Rattus norvegicus: one gene and its partners. The protein of the gene in region 4 binds, or shares a complex with, the protein of the main gene of each other region. Links are inferred from orthologs where the notes say so. Each region holds a gene or a part of one and is shown on either strand. Other genes may lie near its edges.

What was found.
Region 1: Hnrnph2 (region 4) and Ddx5 share a complex: the UniProt entries of both Homo sapiens proteins name them as parts of the ribonucleoprotein complex. The link is inferred for Rattus norvegicus from reciprocal best matches to the Homo sapiens genes HNRNPH2 and DDX5.
Region 2: Hnrnph2 (region 4) and Pa2g4 share a complex: the UniProt entries of both Homo sapiens proteins name them as parts of the ribonucleoprotein complex. The link is inferred for Rattus norvegicus from reciprocal best matches to the Homo sapiens genes HNRNPH2 and PA2G4.
Region 3: Hnrnph2 (region 4) and Srsf1 share a complex: the UniProt entries of both Homo sapiens proteins name them as parts of the ribonucleoprotein complex. The link is inferred for Rattus norvegicus from reciprocal best matches to the Homo sapiens genes HNRNPH2 and SRSF1.

What each region holds. Positions count from the first base shown.
Region 1 is NC_086028.1:92,229,101-92,233,477, forward strand, and holds the start of Ddx5 (probable ATP-dependent RNA helicase DDX5), read right to left. Parts: upstream 2,829-4,377; 5' UTR 2,740-2,828; exon of another isoform or gene 2,729-2,739; intron 2,632-2,728; exon of another isoform or gene 2,491-2,631; intron 2,201-2,490; 5' UTR 2,060-2,200; coding exon 2,016-2,059; intron 869-2,015; coding exon 703-868; intron 327-702; coding exon 230-326; intron 140-229; coding exon 6-139; intron 1-5. Other genes in the region: Cep95 (centrosomal protein of 95 kDa), read left to right, coding at 3,084-3,102. UniProt on the Homo sapiens protein: Involved in the alternative regulation of pre-mRNA splicing; its RNA helicase activity is necessary for increasing tau exon 10 inclusion and occurs in a RBM4-dependent manner. Binds to the tau pre-mRNA in the stem-loop region downstream of exon 10.
Region 2 is NC_086025.1:1,573,967-1,578,059, forward strand, and holds the start of Pa2g4 (proliferation-associated protein 2G4), read right to left. Parts: upstream 2,829-4,093; 5' UTR 2,709-2,828; coding exon 2,621-2,708; intron 714-2,620; coding exon 585-713; intron 359-584; coding exon 253-358; intron 165-252; coding exon 95-164; intron 1-94. UniProt on the Homo sapiens protein: May play a role in a ERBB3-regulated signal transduction pathway. Seems be involved in growth regulation. Acts a corepressor of the androgen receptor (AR) and is regulated by the ERBB3 ligand neuregulin-1/heregulin (HRG).
Region 3 is NC_086028.1:73,334,943-73,339,325, reverse strand, and holds the start of Srsf1 (serine/arginine-rich splicing factor 1), read right to left. Parts: upstream 2,829-4,383; 5' UTR 2,705-2,828; coding exon 2,511-2,704; intron 2,092-2,510; coding exon 1,907-2,091; intron 1,557-1,906; coding exon 1,384-1,556; intron 1,187-1,383; coding exon 992-1,186; 3' UTR 622-991; coding exon of another isoform or gene 583-621; 3' UTR 1-582. UniProt on the Homo sapiens protein: Plays a role in preventing exon skipping, ensuring the accuracy of splicing and regulating alternative splicing.
Region 4 is NC_086039.1:102,077,242-102,080,059, reverse strand, and holds the end of Hnrnph2 (heterogeneous nuclear ribonucleoprotein H2), read right to left. Parts: exon of another isoform or gene 2,144-2,818; 5' UTR 2,091-2,143; coding exon 741-2,090; 3' UTR 614-740; downstream 1-613. UniProt on the Homo sapiens protein: This protein is a component of the heterogeneous nuclear ribonucleoprotein (hnRNP) complexes which provide the substrate for the processing events that pre-mRNAs undergo before becoming functional, translatable mRNAs in the cytoplasm. Binds poly(RG).

The DNA of each region.
Region 1 (4,377 bases), on a different chromosome or scaffold from region 4:
CTTACAGATAATGTTTTCCCAGATCCAGTCTGAGCTACTCCAACCATATCCAATCCACTGAGAGCAACTGGCCAGCCCTGAGCTTGGATAGCAGTGGGTTCAGTGAAGTTCTGCCTTGCAATCACATCCATGACATTTGCTGCAACCAACAATACCATTTTAACAAAAACTTATAGGCAAAAAAAGAGGGAAAAAACGTAAAGGGTTAAAGATAAAATTTATTCCTTACCAGGAAAGTTTGCTTCATAAAAATTCAGAACAGGTTTTGGACAGTTGTGACCTCTGACTGTAATTTCCTTGCTTCTTCTGTACGTATCTACCTCTTGCTGAAAAACAAATGATCTTGGTCTCAGACCTAGGCCAGATACACCGACAAGTTCCCTACAGCTCAGTTACACTCATTTCTAACTATCTGGACCCATAAATGGAACTCTACTTAGCAGTAAAAATCACAATACACATTAAAAAAAAAAAGTGTCTATGAAGCCCAAATAGGCTGACAAGCCTGTTTCCCCAGTGATGTTTCCCCAGAGATTAACATATGGCCATTACACCTGGCCAATACACAAGAGAAAATTCAATGGGAAGTCAGACAAGTAATTCTCCAAATAATCTGCAAGGCACCTGCTAAGTTTCCATCTAATTGATCAGAAGTAGTTACTACTGAGTTATAGCACGATGAAGCCACATTTAAATACTCACTGCGGTGCGCCTTGCCAAATCAGGGTGTTCCTGATAAAAATTCTTCTCAAATTTGGGCAGCTCATCAAGATTCCACTTCTTTTTAACTAGTTTCTCCCCAGGATTTCCAAACTTCTTTCCAGATAGGGGTCCTGTTCTACTCCCTCCAAATCGAGGTGCACCAAACCTACAAAAAAAAAAGTTAGGTACATTGTGAACAGACTTCTACATGAACAGGTTTGTCTCCACATTTCATTTAATGTCTCTTGATCCGAGCCAAAGTGTGCCTCTGGAATCCTTCCCAACTGTCATTCTACGGACAGCCACAACTGGCAGCGTTTCTTTTCTGAAGTCCCAAGTACACTCTAATGAGGCCAAATAAACAGCGTGGGATCTATCAGGTCCCAAACTGCCCAAACGTCTGAAGTTCAGATTACAAGGACAACAGCTAGAGGCTCCCTCTTCTCTCCCCACAGAGCTTAGGAATTAAGTGTCTAGGAGCTGGACAAGAAGGGAGGAGCTTAAGAAGGTTATTTTTGCCACTGTTTTCATCAAAGGGCCTGATCTTAAAGAAATAACGGGACTGCGCAGGCAACGTGAGTGGCTATGGGAGGACGGTACCGCGGGCAGGGTAGAAAGGGGCACACGCGCCAGGGAGCCTTGTTTTAGGAAACGCCGCGAACGGCTGCAAATCAAGGTAACAAAATTATATAACGCGAGGGAGAAAAAGAGGAGGAGTCGACGGCAACCGGGGGAGGAGTCCCGGCCCGGGCGGCGTTCCCGCTGGGGCGGCGCTTCCTTCTTTGTCTCGCATTTCTCTCTGCGCCACATTTTCTCGACGCTGCCATTTTGAGCTCCTCCGCCGGGCGGGGTAACAAAGGCGCCGCCGCCATGTCCGAGGCCGGCATTTTGTGGCTGCGGCTCAGCCACATGGCTGAATCCGCTGGCGTAGGCCACCCTACCGGGCACAGACGGCCTCGAAAGCGCCCCTTGTATTCTCTGGGGACCCCGGGGGCCCCCCTAAAACCCCCAGCGAAAGGCTGCGCAAACGACGCCTTGAGCCGACTCTAAGGCGAGGCGCTTCCCTATCTAAAACACCTCCGGGCTTCCCACAACAGCCGCGAGGTCGCCCAGGCCGCCGTCCTCCCAAACAAAAACCAAGGTTGAACCCAGTTACCAGAAGCGTCGCCTTTAACGGCTTTTTAGCCGGATGTCAGAGAAACGCAAGGCCTCCTACCAGAAAAAAAAATCTAAAGGTCGGTTGGAAAGCCGAGCTTCTGCCGCGCCGCTCTCCCATCCCCCACCCGCCCTGACAGGTCCCTTGTTATACTCACCCTCGATCCCGGCCGCGGTCTCGGTCACTAGAATAACTCGACATGGCGTCAATGGTTGCGGTGTGCTGGAGGAACCCAGTGAAAGAGAATCCAGTTGCGACGAGTCGCTGAAAGGAGGCCTCGGCGACGGCGAAGCCTTTGCGGGGGCGTCACCAGCGGAGGGACGGCGGTGACGAGGGCCGGAGCTGTAAACCCAAGGACCGATGGAAATGAATGAGGTGCCGGCTGCGTCCGGGCAGCCGGTTTTATAGTCTGGACCGCCTCCTCGTCGCAAAGGATGCTGGGAGCCGCTCTATGACCTAATCACCCCGCCCCCTGGCTCCAAGGCCTCAACGCCCGCTGGCGTTCCGGAATCCGCCATGTTCTCGCCCCTCCCCCCCGCGGGCGCTCCCTCATAGGCGCCCGTTTATTACTCGCTTCTCGACTGGGTGACACCACTAGAATGCCCCGTCCCACACCCTTTTGGCTACACCACCTTCTCGCCTTGCTACATGTCAAACAAGCTTCTTCCCCGTGGCCAACCAGTCATTAAAATGGCCAGCACCAGCCATCCTACTGTCTCTACTTGAAGATGTTTACGTCTTCACAGACTCCCCCACGCCCATAACCAAAGAAGACGGGGGAGGCGGAGCTTGGCGTTGTCACGTGATTGTACCCTGGGCAAGGCGTATCGCACTACTTTCTCGCTTGCCTTCGGCGGAGGAATACAAAACCACAAACTCACCGGAAGCGCGGCTCTAACGCCCCCAGGAGATCGGCCGGGCTGCTGGGTGACCTGGCTGCCCTGCACGCCGATCTGAGAGCCCTTAAGCGGGATCTTGTCCGCGGGGAATGGTATCTGGAGCCCGCAAACTGCCGCCTAAGCGCGTGCTGCGAAAGGAAGTGCTTCTCTTCTGACCAATCAGCGGCGAGAAGCCGTTTTAACGTCCCTCCCTTTTCTACCCCTCCTTCCCCGCTCTCTGGTTTCTACCCCCTCCTACTCCCTTCGGTTCTACCGGGTTCGACCCTTCCAGGACACCGTCGCCCGCGCTCTCGTCTTGGAGTCTGGCCGCGACCTCACTTGGCAGTATGGCCAGCTCAGAGGCTGGTGAGTCTCGGCCTGGAGCCCTAGTGTTTTTGTACTGCAGCATTCCGCAGGCCTCGGGCTGAATCTGAGCCATGTCTGGGCTGCTGGAGAGGCTCGTGATGGTTGGACACTAGTTGCAGTCGCAGGGAATCTCTAAATTTAGGGTCTCACCCTCGAGACCTCATGTGTTTTCCAGGCGTGGAATTGAGACTTGGGATGAGACAGGAGCTCATTGACAAGGCTGGGATACCCTCATCCTGTTTTTACAGAGCAGTCAGGATCCTTCTTGGATCCGAGTTTCTGTGGGGTATCTAGCCACAGACTGTCTCTCCTTCCCCTTTGGTTTGTTTGGACTAAGGTTGAACCTATCTATATATATTTTTTCCTTTTGAGGCATAGCACTCATAAGATCTTTTGATGCCCTCTACAGTAACTGGCTTTGTCTAGTACAGCCTTTAAAAAGCCAATTGACTCGGTTGTCTAGGACGCTTTCCTCGTCCTTTCCAAGACAATACAAAATGGTTGTCATGGCTTGGTCAGCTGTGCGCATTGGGCATTGGAAGGAGGGCAAAATGGGCATGACACATTCAGACTACTGTCTCCAGAATGTCTGACTGTACTGGAAATGTGACCAATTCTAAAGTGCTTTCTAATATCCAGTCATTTCAGGATACAGGCGTTTCAAGCTTTCGGAATTATTGCTGAAACCCTTAATCGTTAGTCCTGTACTATCTGGGGGAGGGCACGAGCTGTTTTTGGAAAAGAACAACGGGGAGCTTGATTAGGATTATTAATGTGCTAGTTTAGAGCTTAGCGATTTGGCTTTTTTTTTCTTTCATTTTTACCTTCGTACACATCAAATATAATAAAAAAGAAAACTAACAAATGCATTAGTGTCGGTGTTGTCATTATTCAAATTCCTAACAGCCTAAATTAATCACTTGTTTGGGCACCCGAGAGATCTTACTTATACAAGATAATTGGGTAAAAACATGTCTAAAAACTACTGGGAATTCAGAGCTACCTCCATTAATTTCTAGCAGTTTTTAGGTTTTCATTTACAGCTGTCTTACGATATTCCTGGTTACCTATAAATTTATTGTAACTAAAAACACCCATGTGAGTATAAAAATACCGGTAAATAGGATTGTAGGTTGCAAGAATAAAAGTTGGGTTGGCACGACAGTTTTGACTGCATAAGGAGCTAGCTAGCACTGGAAATCATCCCAAAAAATTAAATACGTCTTTTGAAAACTTGCCTGGTTGAGTCTTTGAAATTTCATAACAAAGTCCTTA
Region 2 (4,093 bases), on a different chromosome or scaffold from region 4:
CATAGACTATATATTTTAAAACAATAAAGACATAAAAAGCTATGTACAAATTAAAAGCACAAGCGGCAGTCTATCCTCTCCTCAAAGCTCTTACCTGAGCTACACCAATTACAAAAGTGTGAGCCACGTTGGCAATGAAGCCATCCACATGAACCCCAAGGTCACTGGAAGACAAGACAGAGCACTGCATTAGGAACTGACAGTTGGAATACGCAGGAAAACGACAAATACTGCAGAAAGGCTTGAGCTTACATTTTTACCAAGTCGCCTTCCTTGAGTATATAGTCCTGGTCACTCTTCAAAGGGGAGAAGTGACACACACAGTTATTTACGGAAATGCTGGTAGGAAAGGCAATACCTGCAAAAGAGCACCAACCTTACCACCTCGCTCTCACCAGGGAACACCCCCTGCTGGGACTTGGTTTCCATACTCAGCTCAGTCTGGGAAACCATACCCATCCCATGTGCTACTCAGATTTCCAAATAGCTTAACCGGACATTGGGGGAGCGGGGGAGGGCGACTAGGTGGTTGGGTTCAAATAGGAGAAATTAAGGAAGTTAAGAGGGAGATTTGCCCTTCTTACCTTTCTTCATCTCCTTCTCCTTCTTGAAGATCTTCCCTGTCTCTTCCATAATCATGGCGTCACCTTTCTCACACAAGCTCAGTACAGACACACCTGAGCTAGAAGCTTCCACCAAAGATCGAAGCACCCCTGGGGACGAGAGTGGCACCATCAGCCCTGTATGCATTCATCATCTGATTGGACCCGAAGCTCAGTTTAGTTTCTAACACGCCCTAATGGAGTGATCGTTAATGTCTTTGTTCTCAGGACATATATACCCCTGGCTGTCCCAGAATTCACGGTGTAGACCTGCCTGCCTTTGCCTCCCACAAGTATCACTAAAGGTGACCACCATACCCAGCTCTACTTTCTACCTTCCCTTCCAAAAATAAAGAGGTGGGGACTCACTTCTCTCCTTTAAATTACTTGACACTTGGGCATATGCCCCAAGTCTCACACACTCCAAGGATGCTATGGCAATACGAATCATGATGGTCAGGAAACTCTGCCCCAAGATACCCTACACTCACAAGCAGACCAGAAGAAATTTATAGGCGTCAGGGACAATGGGAAGGTAGAGAATTGCTGAGTCAAAGATGAAGCATTGCTAAATGTTACCTTCTTCCCTCCTCAGACACCAAGTAGTAATCATAATTTATGTAGCTGTATTTCCCCACATATAAGGATATAAGCCCAGGGGAATTAACCTAAGGTCTCAAAGATTCAGAGGGCTACAAGTCTACTTCCAGTATATCAAGAAAACATGTAACCCTTTCAAAGCTATTATCGCCTAAGGCAATTGTAGGGTTGGAAATTTTTGTCTTATTCAAACCACTATCAAATACTAAAACATCACCCCAAATAAAAGTATTAATTTTGTATGTCTTTATGATACATGGGAATTCTAGGTTTGATGATTTATGTTTTGGTTACTCTTTAGAATCCAAAAGAACTCAGATTTAACCAGACATCCTAAATACCTTCTTCCAAGTATTTTGTCAAGACCTTCTAAAGACCTAAGACAGTTTTTATCTCAAGTGACTTTTAAAAATGGAAAAGAGCCGGGCGTGGTTACACACGCCTTTAATTCTAGCACTCTGGGAAGCTGAGGTGGGCGGATCTCTCAGGCCAGCCTGGTCTAAGAAGGAGTACCAGGAAAGCCAGGACTACACAGAAAGCCCCAGAAAATAAGAGGGCAAGGGAGAAGAACTGGAACAAGAAAACAGGAAAGTTGTTTGCCCAAGTGGCAGACAACTGTTAAAGAGAGTAAAGACCATATAAGAAATGCTTATATTCCTAAAATCCCTCTCCACCCCTTTTGAGTATTATTGACAGGCTTGCCCAGCTGTCTAAGCAGAACCTCAAAACACTGCAAAGACTCTAAAAACAAAAAATTAAAGGCTAATCCTACTAAATCCTGTAGCCACACACGAGAGCCAGGTATCTTTAAGAGTTGTGTTAGAAGCTCCAGTCGTGTCTTCCAACGGTCCCTCCAAGCTAGGTCAAGGGGAGAAGGGGGGCCCCCACCAAGAAGACCTAAAGACTTTAGCAAAGCACGTGGTGAAGCACGGTAGGAGCGGTAGGAGAGGAAGTGGGGAGTCAGCGATCCGTACAGGGACCTGGCAACACGTGCCGGCTCGGCTCCCGCGGGTCAAGAGCCGCGACTGGCAAAGGGGCGCTTCCGTCGCCAACAGCTGGCCGCTTCCCTTTCGAGGTGGCCTCACTGCTGCCAGTCAGGAGCAAAGACCCGATAGACCGAAGGGTGATGGGCAGAAGACGACGCGCCTTGCCTTCTTACCAACCGCCTAGGGTCGGAGCATGCTTGGGCCCCTCTCTGCGCTCCTCGCGGTCACCGGCCCGCACCTCCACTCTCCAGCCCAGGCATGGCTGCTCAGTTCCCGGGGCGACACCAGATCTCCCCACCACGTCGCCCCCGGCCGTCGGCACGCGCCCCTCGGTGGCTCACTCCGCAAGACCCAGCCGCTACAGCCCTTCGGAGACAGCCCCAAACCTCTCCCTCTCAGCCTCGATTCCAAGACCCCCGAGGCCGCACTCACGGTTGGCGATGTCGCCCCCCATCTTATACTTGGTCACGACCAGGTCCTCGGCGATAGTTTGCTCCTGCTGCTCGTCTTCGCCCGACATCTTCCTACTGCCACTACTGCAGCTTCACTTTCCCTGAGCTGCGGCCTCCGTCTCCCTTCCCAGCCACAAGCTGTAGCCGGAGTCTCTTCGATCCGCGAGGAAAGCGCGAGCTAGCAAGGGAGCGGGAGGGCGGGCAGAGAGCGAGAAGCTGCGAGCGCGCGGGCTAAGGCGCAGGGTACACTGGGACAATGAGTCCTGCCGGCGGCCAGTCTCCAGCCGCCCTCGAGCGCTCGAGAACTACAATTCCCAGCCTGCTCCTCGCGCACCTCCGCCAGGCCCTGGGGGCCTTGCCCTCCCAAGTCTGCGCACGCCGGAGTCGCCGGGCACGCTGGGAAGAGTCTGGCTCCGGCGGGAAGGCGGAGCCGTTGGGAAGGTTGAAGGAAAGCGTGGTGTCTCCGGGAAAAACCTCTCATTCAAGAGAGCGCCGACCCAGAGCTCTTAACAGCGAGGGGCGGGCCAAGCGAGGTGGGGCGGAGCTACGCGGAGAAAAGGGTTGAGAGGCCGCTGGGTAGGGTGGAGCCGGGTGGAGCTATAGGATCAGGGTCAAGGTGTGTACTCCTTGGGCGGTCGTCCGGTGCGCGTAGCCTCGGATTCCGGAGTCGGCAGGTGCGACCGGCATGGCTGGTCAAATCCTCCTGTGCCGGGAGAACAGGGAGGGGCTGAGTGGAGGTGGAAGTCCTAGGGTGCATGCAAGGAGTGAGCACTAACTGGACAGTCTGAGTGATTGTGTACCGTGGCCTGCTAATATGAAAGCCAGGCTTCCTACTAGACTAGAATAAAATGGCACTATTGTTCTAACCATGAGTTTTGATGGGGGCATCTAAGGGAAATGTTTAGGAGGGATATGGTCACTCTTTTTTTTTTTAAAGATTTATTCATTTATTATATATAAGTACACTGTAGCTGTCTTCAGATACACCAGAAGAGAGCATCTGATCTCTTTACAGATGGTTGTGAGCCACCATGTGGTTGCTGGGAATTGAACTCAGGACCTCTGGAAGAGTAGTCGGGTGCTCTTAACCGCTGAGCCATCTCTCCAGCCCAGATATGGTCACTTTTTTTTTTTTCATTTCAATATGCATGTTCTTTTATTTGGAGGAAACTTCAGAATTCTCAAGTTATACATTGAAATTGTTTATAAATAAATACATAAAATTTCATTTATACCAAGAAGCTGGTTTATATCTTTATCTTGTGGGGAAAGCTAATTTATTTAGAGATTCATATAAAAATAATAGTTGGTTTGAAGAGGTCTAAGAAAATGCTGACTCTTAAAAGTTTCACTTACTGAGTGATAAACTAAGGTCATGTGACAGGAGACTTTAACTGTTAGATTCCAACGTAAATTCAAACTCCTCCCATAAGAAGTAATTTTCATGACTGTT
Region 3 (4,383 bases), on a different chromosome or scaffold from region 4:
TCAATTATGAATATTAAAAGGGAAAGTGAGACAAAAGTATTCCCAACTAGATTATCTACATTAATATGTTGGAATTCTATATTTTGCTGTCATTTTTGTCTTTAAAAAATGAAATAACAACGCTCTATCAGTCACACAGAGGACATGCAGATTTAGCAGTATTGATATTATACTCTGTTTGGAAATAGACACCCTGTACCCACATGTACACCAACAGCAGGCCACACATTAACAGTTGTAACTAAGCACTGTGACAAATTAGCCATTCTTCCCACATTAGTCCCTATTAAAACAAAAAGGGGGGAAGGGAGCAAATAACTGTTACAAAACGGGCAATTTTGCCACAATTGCCAAGGTTTTAAAAAGCAAAGCAATTGTAGCTGAAGATAACTGCATAAGATGTTTGCAAGTCTTTTAAGGTAGATAAAATTTTAACCCTCGCCTTTTAGTATAAGGTCAATACTGCCAATTTCATCTGTGACAATAGCACTTGGAGTCATACCATTGCCTCCATTATTGATCTGATCCTCCTCAATCCTCCTTTTGACAATCCTAAAATGATTGAAATGTGCTCCACAATCCTTAATCCAAAGCATTCTTAATCCATCTCTTCAGATATGTCTACAGAAAGACACATGAAAAGCAAGATAAACATAAGAACTTCCCCAAGTAAGATAACCACAAACACCCCCAACATCCCATTTCACACAAACCAGAGCAGAATAGACATTTACATAATATCACAGTCTGAAGAGCATGGAAATTAACTAAATTTAAACAATCCTGTCTATGACATCACTTAAAATACAAGTTACCAAAGACATGAGGGGAATGTAGATGTTAGGAGCAAGGGGATATTACACAAGAATGCAATTCAACACTTTAGCCCATTCTGAACAAAACAGTTTGAATTAAAAAAAATGAAAAGATTGTACTGAGTAAAGGAAAACTGTATACAACATGGGTTCTACAAAAAGTGTCACCAATCATCTTATGTACGAGAGCGAGATCTGCTATGACGGGGAGAATAGCGTGGTGATCCTCTGCTTCTCCTTGGGGAGTAACTGCGACTCCTGCTGTTGCTTCTGCTACGGCTTCTGCTACGACTACGGCTTCGAGATCGAGATCTTCCATAACTTGGACTTCTGGGCCCATCAACTTTAACCCGGATGTAGGCAGTTTCTCCCTATTGGATAGACAGAACTTTCCATTGAAAGATCTAAGCTTTTACCTGTCTTTCAGACAAGCTGAATGAATACAAAGACAGACCAGGTCTCTGGTAATTTACTCGGACACCCTTGCCTGTATCCTTACCTTCAAATTCCACTGTTAAGAAAACTGTATCCAATTCTGGCCAAAAAAAAGAATAAGTGTATAACCTACCTCATGAGATCTAAACTTAGTGTTATCCAGTTTTCGAACTGCATACGTCATATCTTCTTTCCGTACAAACTCCACGACACCAGTGCCATCTCGGTAAACATCAGCATAACATACATCACCTGCTTCACGCATGTGATCCTTTAAGTCCTGCCAGCTTCCACTCGGAGGCAGTCCTGAAAAAGTGAGTCCCTCCAACTTAATACTACTTAACCTGTCCCACATCAAACGTGTAAGTACATTAAAACAAAGATTAGTTTAAAATACTTAATGATTGTACTTAAGTGTTTCCAGGTAAAGAGCTGGTAAGAGTCAGATCCAGAGTCCAAATTTATTTGTAAAGGATCTTCATAGGCTAGTACTGCAACCTAATTTGGGTAAATCACCACCACAGTAATCTTCATTTACTAAATTCACCCGAAAGACCGAAGTAGTTTAAGACCCCATGTTTAAAGCAAAACAGAAAACTTGCAGACCTCAAAACAATCACGCGGGAAAAATTTTAACCCGCACGAAGTCAACTCACCAGAAACAACCACTCTGTTTTCAGACCGCCTGGATGGCGGGCCATAGCGGCCTCTCGGGGCTCCGCCGCCTCCACCCCCGCCGCCGCCTCGGCCGGTCCCACGGCCGCTTCGGGGAAACTCTACCCGCAGACGGTAGCCGTCGTAATCGTAGCCGTCGCGACCGTACACCGCATCTTCCGCGTCTCTGCGTGTGATCACAGAAAGCAAAGGGGATGAGGAGGGAGCCGCTGGCAAAGCTAACTCACTCGGGAACCCGCGGACAGCGCACATGCGCACCCATGGTGCCAGAGCCCACATGCGCTGCATAATAGGACCGGCCCCTCCCCCACCCAGAAACACGCCGGGCAGACTCCCGACCACCACGCCAGCCCTCAGCGCCTCAGTTTCCCGCTCCGGGGCTGCGCATGGGCTCTGGGGACGTCCGAGGCGGTCAGCCACCGGAGACAACGCGCCGACTCGGCTCCTTACTCGACTCCTGCAGGGGCGATAGCGCCTCGCTCCCAGCCTCGGAGCCCCTCCTTCCCCCATTATGTTAAGGCCTCGGAGCCTTCCCCAACTACTCCAGCCTATCTCCTCAAGGCCGCAAGCCCCACGCTGCCTCACCGCGGGTCCTCGAACTCAACGAAGGCGAAGGGCGGTCCCCCGCGGCGGTTCTTCAGGTCGATGTCGCGGATAGCGCCGTATTTGTAAAACACGTCCTCAATGTCCTTGGTTCGGATGTCTGGAGGTAGGTTACCCACGTAGATGCGGCAGTCGTTGTTCCCTGCCGGGCCACGAATCACACCACCTCCTGACATGGCGGCGACGAAAAGCGCGGACTCGAAAAGAGGCCTTCCCACCAAGCCTAGCGTACGGCAGAGCGAGCCCTCAGCGGCACCACGTCTCCCGCGGCCGGTCCAAAATGGCGCCTTTATCAGCTCGGCGCACTGATATGGGGGGGAGGGGGAGGAAGAGAAGCCGGAGGAAGCGGCTATTCCATTTCAGTGCGCACGCGCACGAGCGTAACGGGTGCTGAGAAGTACGCTCGCGCACGCGCGACGTCACCCTCCGCACGGAGGGGAAAAAGTCCCTCGGGTCCTGGGCTTATGGGATGATTGGCTGGTGGAGCGGCCAGACGTTTGGTAAAAGTCACATACTCTGGTTAAAGGGGTTATTACCAATCCTGCTGAGTCCAGGATAGTCGGTTTCCTCTGGCGTAAACTCTCTCTGGAAGCAGCTCGGCGCTTTAAAAAGATTGGGTGAAACCTAGCCTGCAACTGTGTCCCAACATGCTCCGCGGTGGTAACGGCCTTTGGCGGGAAAGGCGTAGGGGGCGGAGCTAGATGACGCTGGGTGTTGCTCCGGAAACCTGGGCAACTTTAGCACTTCGGTGCGGCCGGCCGAGTTGCAGGAGATTCGTTTAACAGCCTAAGGGGAGCTGTGTGGCTTTTGCTTCTGCGAACCTGCGGTGGGCTGCATTTTACACAGTTAAAAGTGTCTAGACGGATCCTCCATATCTATTTAGATGAACCGTGCCTTCGCTTTTTTTCTTCCTCCTTTCAAAGGATGAAAAAGGAAACGTGATAAAATACTAACTGCTTCTTTGGGCCGAGATCCGGGTTCGGTGCTAGTCTAGGGAGATAACTTTTTCCCCGAGATTATCTGAAATAGGATTTTTGTACTGGATACCACAATTTTGCTTCTTTGTTTTGTAATAACGGGAATAGGAGAGTTTTATTTGTGAAATCATACAGGCTTTTTAATTAAAACAAAACTAAGCTGGACTTAAGTCTGTGTGCCTGAAATCCTATCACTCTGGGAGCTGAGGCAAGGAGGTGATAAACCTACTCTGTGATACACATTTCTATTAAAGGTCAGCCCGGGACATGCAGGGAAACCCTTTCTATTAAAATTTTTTAAAAACAAACCTTTTTCTTGGCATTGTTTTTGAGTTTCGGGTTTCTGTTTTGGTTTGAACAGCCCCTGGCTGTTTTGGAACTCAGATCCTGCTGCCTTCTAAGTGCTAGGATCAAAGATGAGTCACCACCTCCTGGCTAAAACCAGAACCTTTCCTGTTTAGATAATAAGACAGCCAGGTGTGGTGGCGCATTCCTTTCAAAGTAGGCCTCAGAATCTCAGGAGTTCAAGGCCAGCCAGAGCTGTGCAGTTCCTATCTCGAATAAGTATGCTAAATCGGATCCCCGGAAATTTTAAGGTTGATTCTCTACACTGTAATTTTTAGTTTTCAATTTTATTTTATGCATATTGTGCCTTGGGGTGGTGGGTCATGCCCCAGCCCATGTGTGAAAGTTAGAAAATAAAGTGCAGTTCACCACTTGCACTATGTGTGGTCAGGCTTTTGAGGAGCATCTTTATCAGATGAGCCATCTGCTGCCCCTATACATTATCATTTATTTACCACAGTCCAGGGATGTAGGGCTGCTTAAAATGAAACCATTAAATATTAAGACTGGCTGGAGAAATCAAGGACAACGGG
Region 4 (2,818 bases):
TCTAAATGGAATTCACAATACAAGGTAAGATTTAAATCAAAGCCCCAGAATTCCATACAAATAACATGACCAAACTCCTAATGTATTGGTATCACATCTCAAAATTGTCCCGGATCTTTAAAAAAAAAAAAAAAAAAAAGGTGAAAGTGTACACTCACGTGCCTTACAGGATATTAAACCAAAAAGCTAGAATTAACAAACATGCCAAATGTCACTTTGAATCAGACACAGCTCCTATATTTTTTACAGAAAAGCATGTTTCTCAACATGCATCTGAAGTTTTCGATGTATTGTGGTATAAGAGCAACATTTAACGTAAGTGAAACTGCTTTAAACCTAAAGATGCTTACTGCTTAAGTACACTCCTACAACATAACTAACTTGAGGAAAGCTGAAAGTGGAATTGACAGTTATGGTCAATACTGAACTTGTTATTACATCCTAGATGAATATTTTCAGTGTTCAAAATTGCTGAGCTTAAAGTTTGAAAACAATCGTAACTTTCACTTTACAGTAAGCATGAATCACAAGCTTGTAATGCGAAACTGTTAAACTTAAATTTTGTTCTCTTTAAAAAAAAGGAGAAAGAAGAAAGAAAGAAGCTGACCAATAGTGATCAGAAGCAATTGTATTTCCCATTTACCAATCATACTGGATATGCTGGACATCCTCCCTACTCTATCCAGTTCCTATAATGTACTTTTTATTCCTGTAGATGCTCTTTGATGCTTCCTCTCTTCCTAAGCAAGGTTTGACTGATAGTCACTTGAGTTTTCCTGAAGAACTTGGTCATATCCGCTCATACTGCTCTGACCACCATAACCACCTCCGTAGCCAGCACTCAGCTGCTGGCTGGCTGGACCTCCATAACTAGACTGGTTGGATAAACCCATCCCTCCCATCATCTGGCTGCCATAAGCACCACCGCTTGCCCCTGCTGTAGAATTCAAAAAGAGCTCTACATAGCTATGATCATAAGCTCCTCCACTCGTCCCTGCGGTAGAATTCAGGAAGAGCTCCACATATCTGTGCTGCATATTTGCTTTATCTTTTGCCATAGCTGCCACAGCGTCTTCATGAGTAGCAAACTCAACGTCTGCCTCACCCGTGACTCTGCCATCAGGTCCGATTTCAATGTGTACTCTCATGGGATTAAGAGGTGAGAAAAAATTGTAAATATCATTCTCAGTGGCTCTGTATGGTAACCCCCTCATGTGTACACAGTGCCCTGTGGTGCTCTGGAAACTGGACCCACCATCTCCATATCGATGATCAGACATTCCTGAGAAACAGTAGTTTAGGTCTCTTCCAAATCTATCAGACCCAAAACCATACCCGTCATTATAACCTCCGTAGTCATCATAGCCTCCGTACCCTCCACCATAGGCACCCCGCCTCATTCTTTCAAACCCAGCTCCTCTGCCAATGCTATTATACCCTCTCCCAGCCCCTGGCCTATCATAAGGACCCGGGCGCTGCATAGTCATGAGCTTTCGAGGGGGATCATAGTGGGTTCGGACTTCAGCTCTGCTACTCTTGAAGATCTCGATGTACCTATGCCCTATTCTTTCCTTGTGTTTCTTTAAGGCCTTTTCAGCTATCTCCTGTGAAGCAAACTGCACAAAAGCTTCCCCTGTGCTCCGCCCCTGAAAGTCCACTGGCAGTGTCATCCCATTTGGCACAATTTCCAACCCTGAAAAGAACTGAACAATTTCTTCCTTGCTACAGCCAAATGGGAGTCCTCTGAGCCGTACAAACCCATCATTGGCAGTATCAGGACTATTTGGACCTGTATGCTTTAACACCCAATCCATTTCAACACTGTTGGATTTGAATACTTCAACATATCTGTGTCCCATGGTTTCTCTGTCTTTCTTTAAAGCCAATTTCACTTCATCTTCAGATTCGAGTTCGACAAATGCTTCACCACTCGGTCTGCCTTCTCTGGTGTAGATGAAACGAACACCTGATGTGCCATTTTGGATTTTGCAATCAGAAAAGAAGCGCATCACTTCCTCGGCTGAGCAGGACCAGGGTAGGCCCCTGACCTTCACCACGAACCCCTCCCTGCCCTCTGTGCTCAGCATCATGGTGACTGATGGACTCTTGGTGGCAAGCTTGGCTCAATGCAATTTCAATGTGGCTTTAAAAAAATTAGAAAACTATTGTCATGAAAAAGTGTATACAATAGAGTAAGAGAAACAAAGAAAACTATTATTTTACAAGTTCTTATCAGTAAGATTTTCAAAGGAGCTATATGAACAAAGACTGCATAAAACTTTTAATTCATTCACTTCGAGGGTACTTATTTCATTTCTATTATGTATCAGGTATAATTAATTTATGGTGGTTATTTCTGGTTAACAGTATTATAGGAATTTTTTGTTTCCATGGATACTTTTTTCCTTTAGATAATTTCAAATATTCTAAATTTTCTGCACTGAGCCAATATATTAACATCACACAGAGAAAATTAGAACTAAATATAACAAAGTGTAACTACATTCCATTATATATAAAAATGAAAATATTCTTTAAATCAAAAGACAATACTCATGAGATGATACAACAAATCCATCCATAGCCTAAGAATATAAACAATGAATGCAAGTCAATAAAATACAGAACTATTAAAGCCTAAAAGATAAATGGAAAAGGCTTAATGGGTATTTATACATTCAAACATGTTTTAGGGGCCACATCCAGTACTCAGTTCTGCCATGGAAGAACCAATTAAGTCTGGAGAAGGAGAACTGTGTGTTGCCCCAAAGGTAAGTGCAAATACAGACTACATAGAAGGCAAATACACAGAAGGACT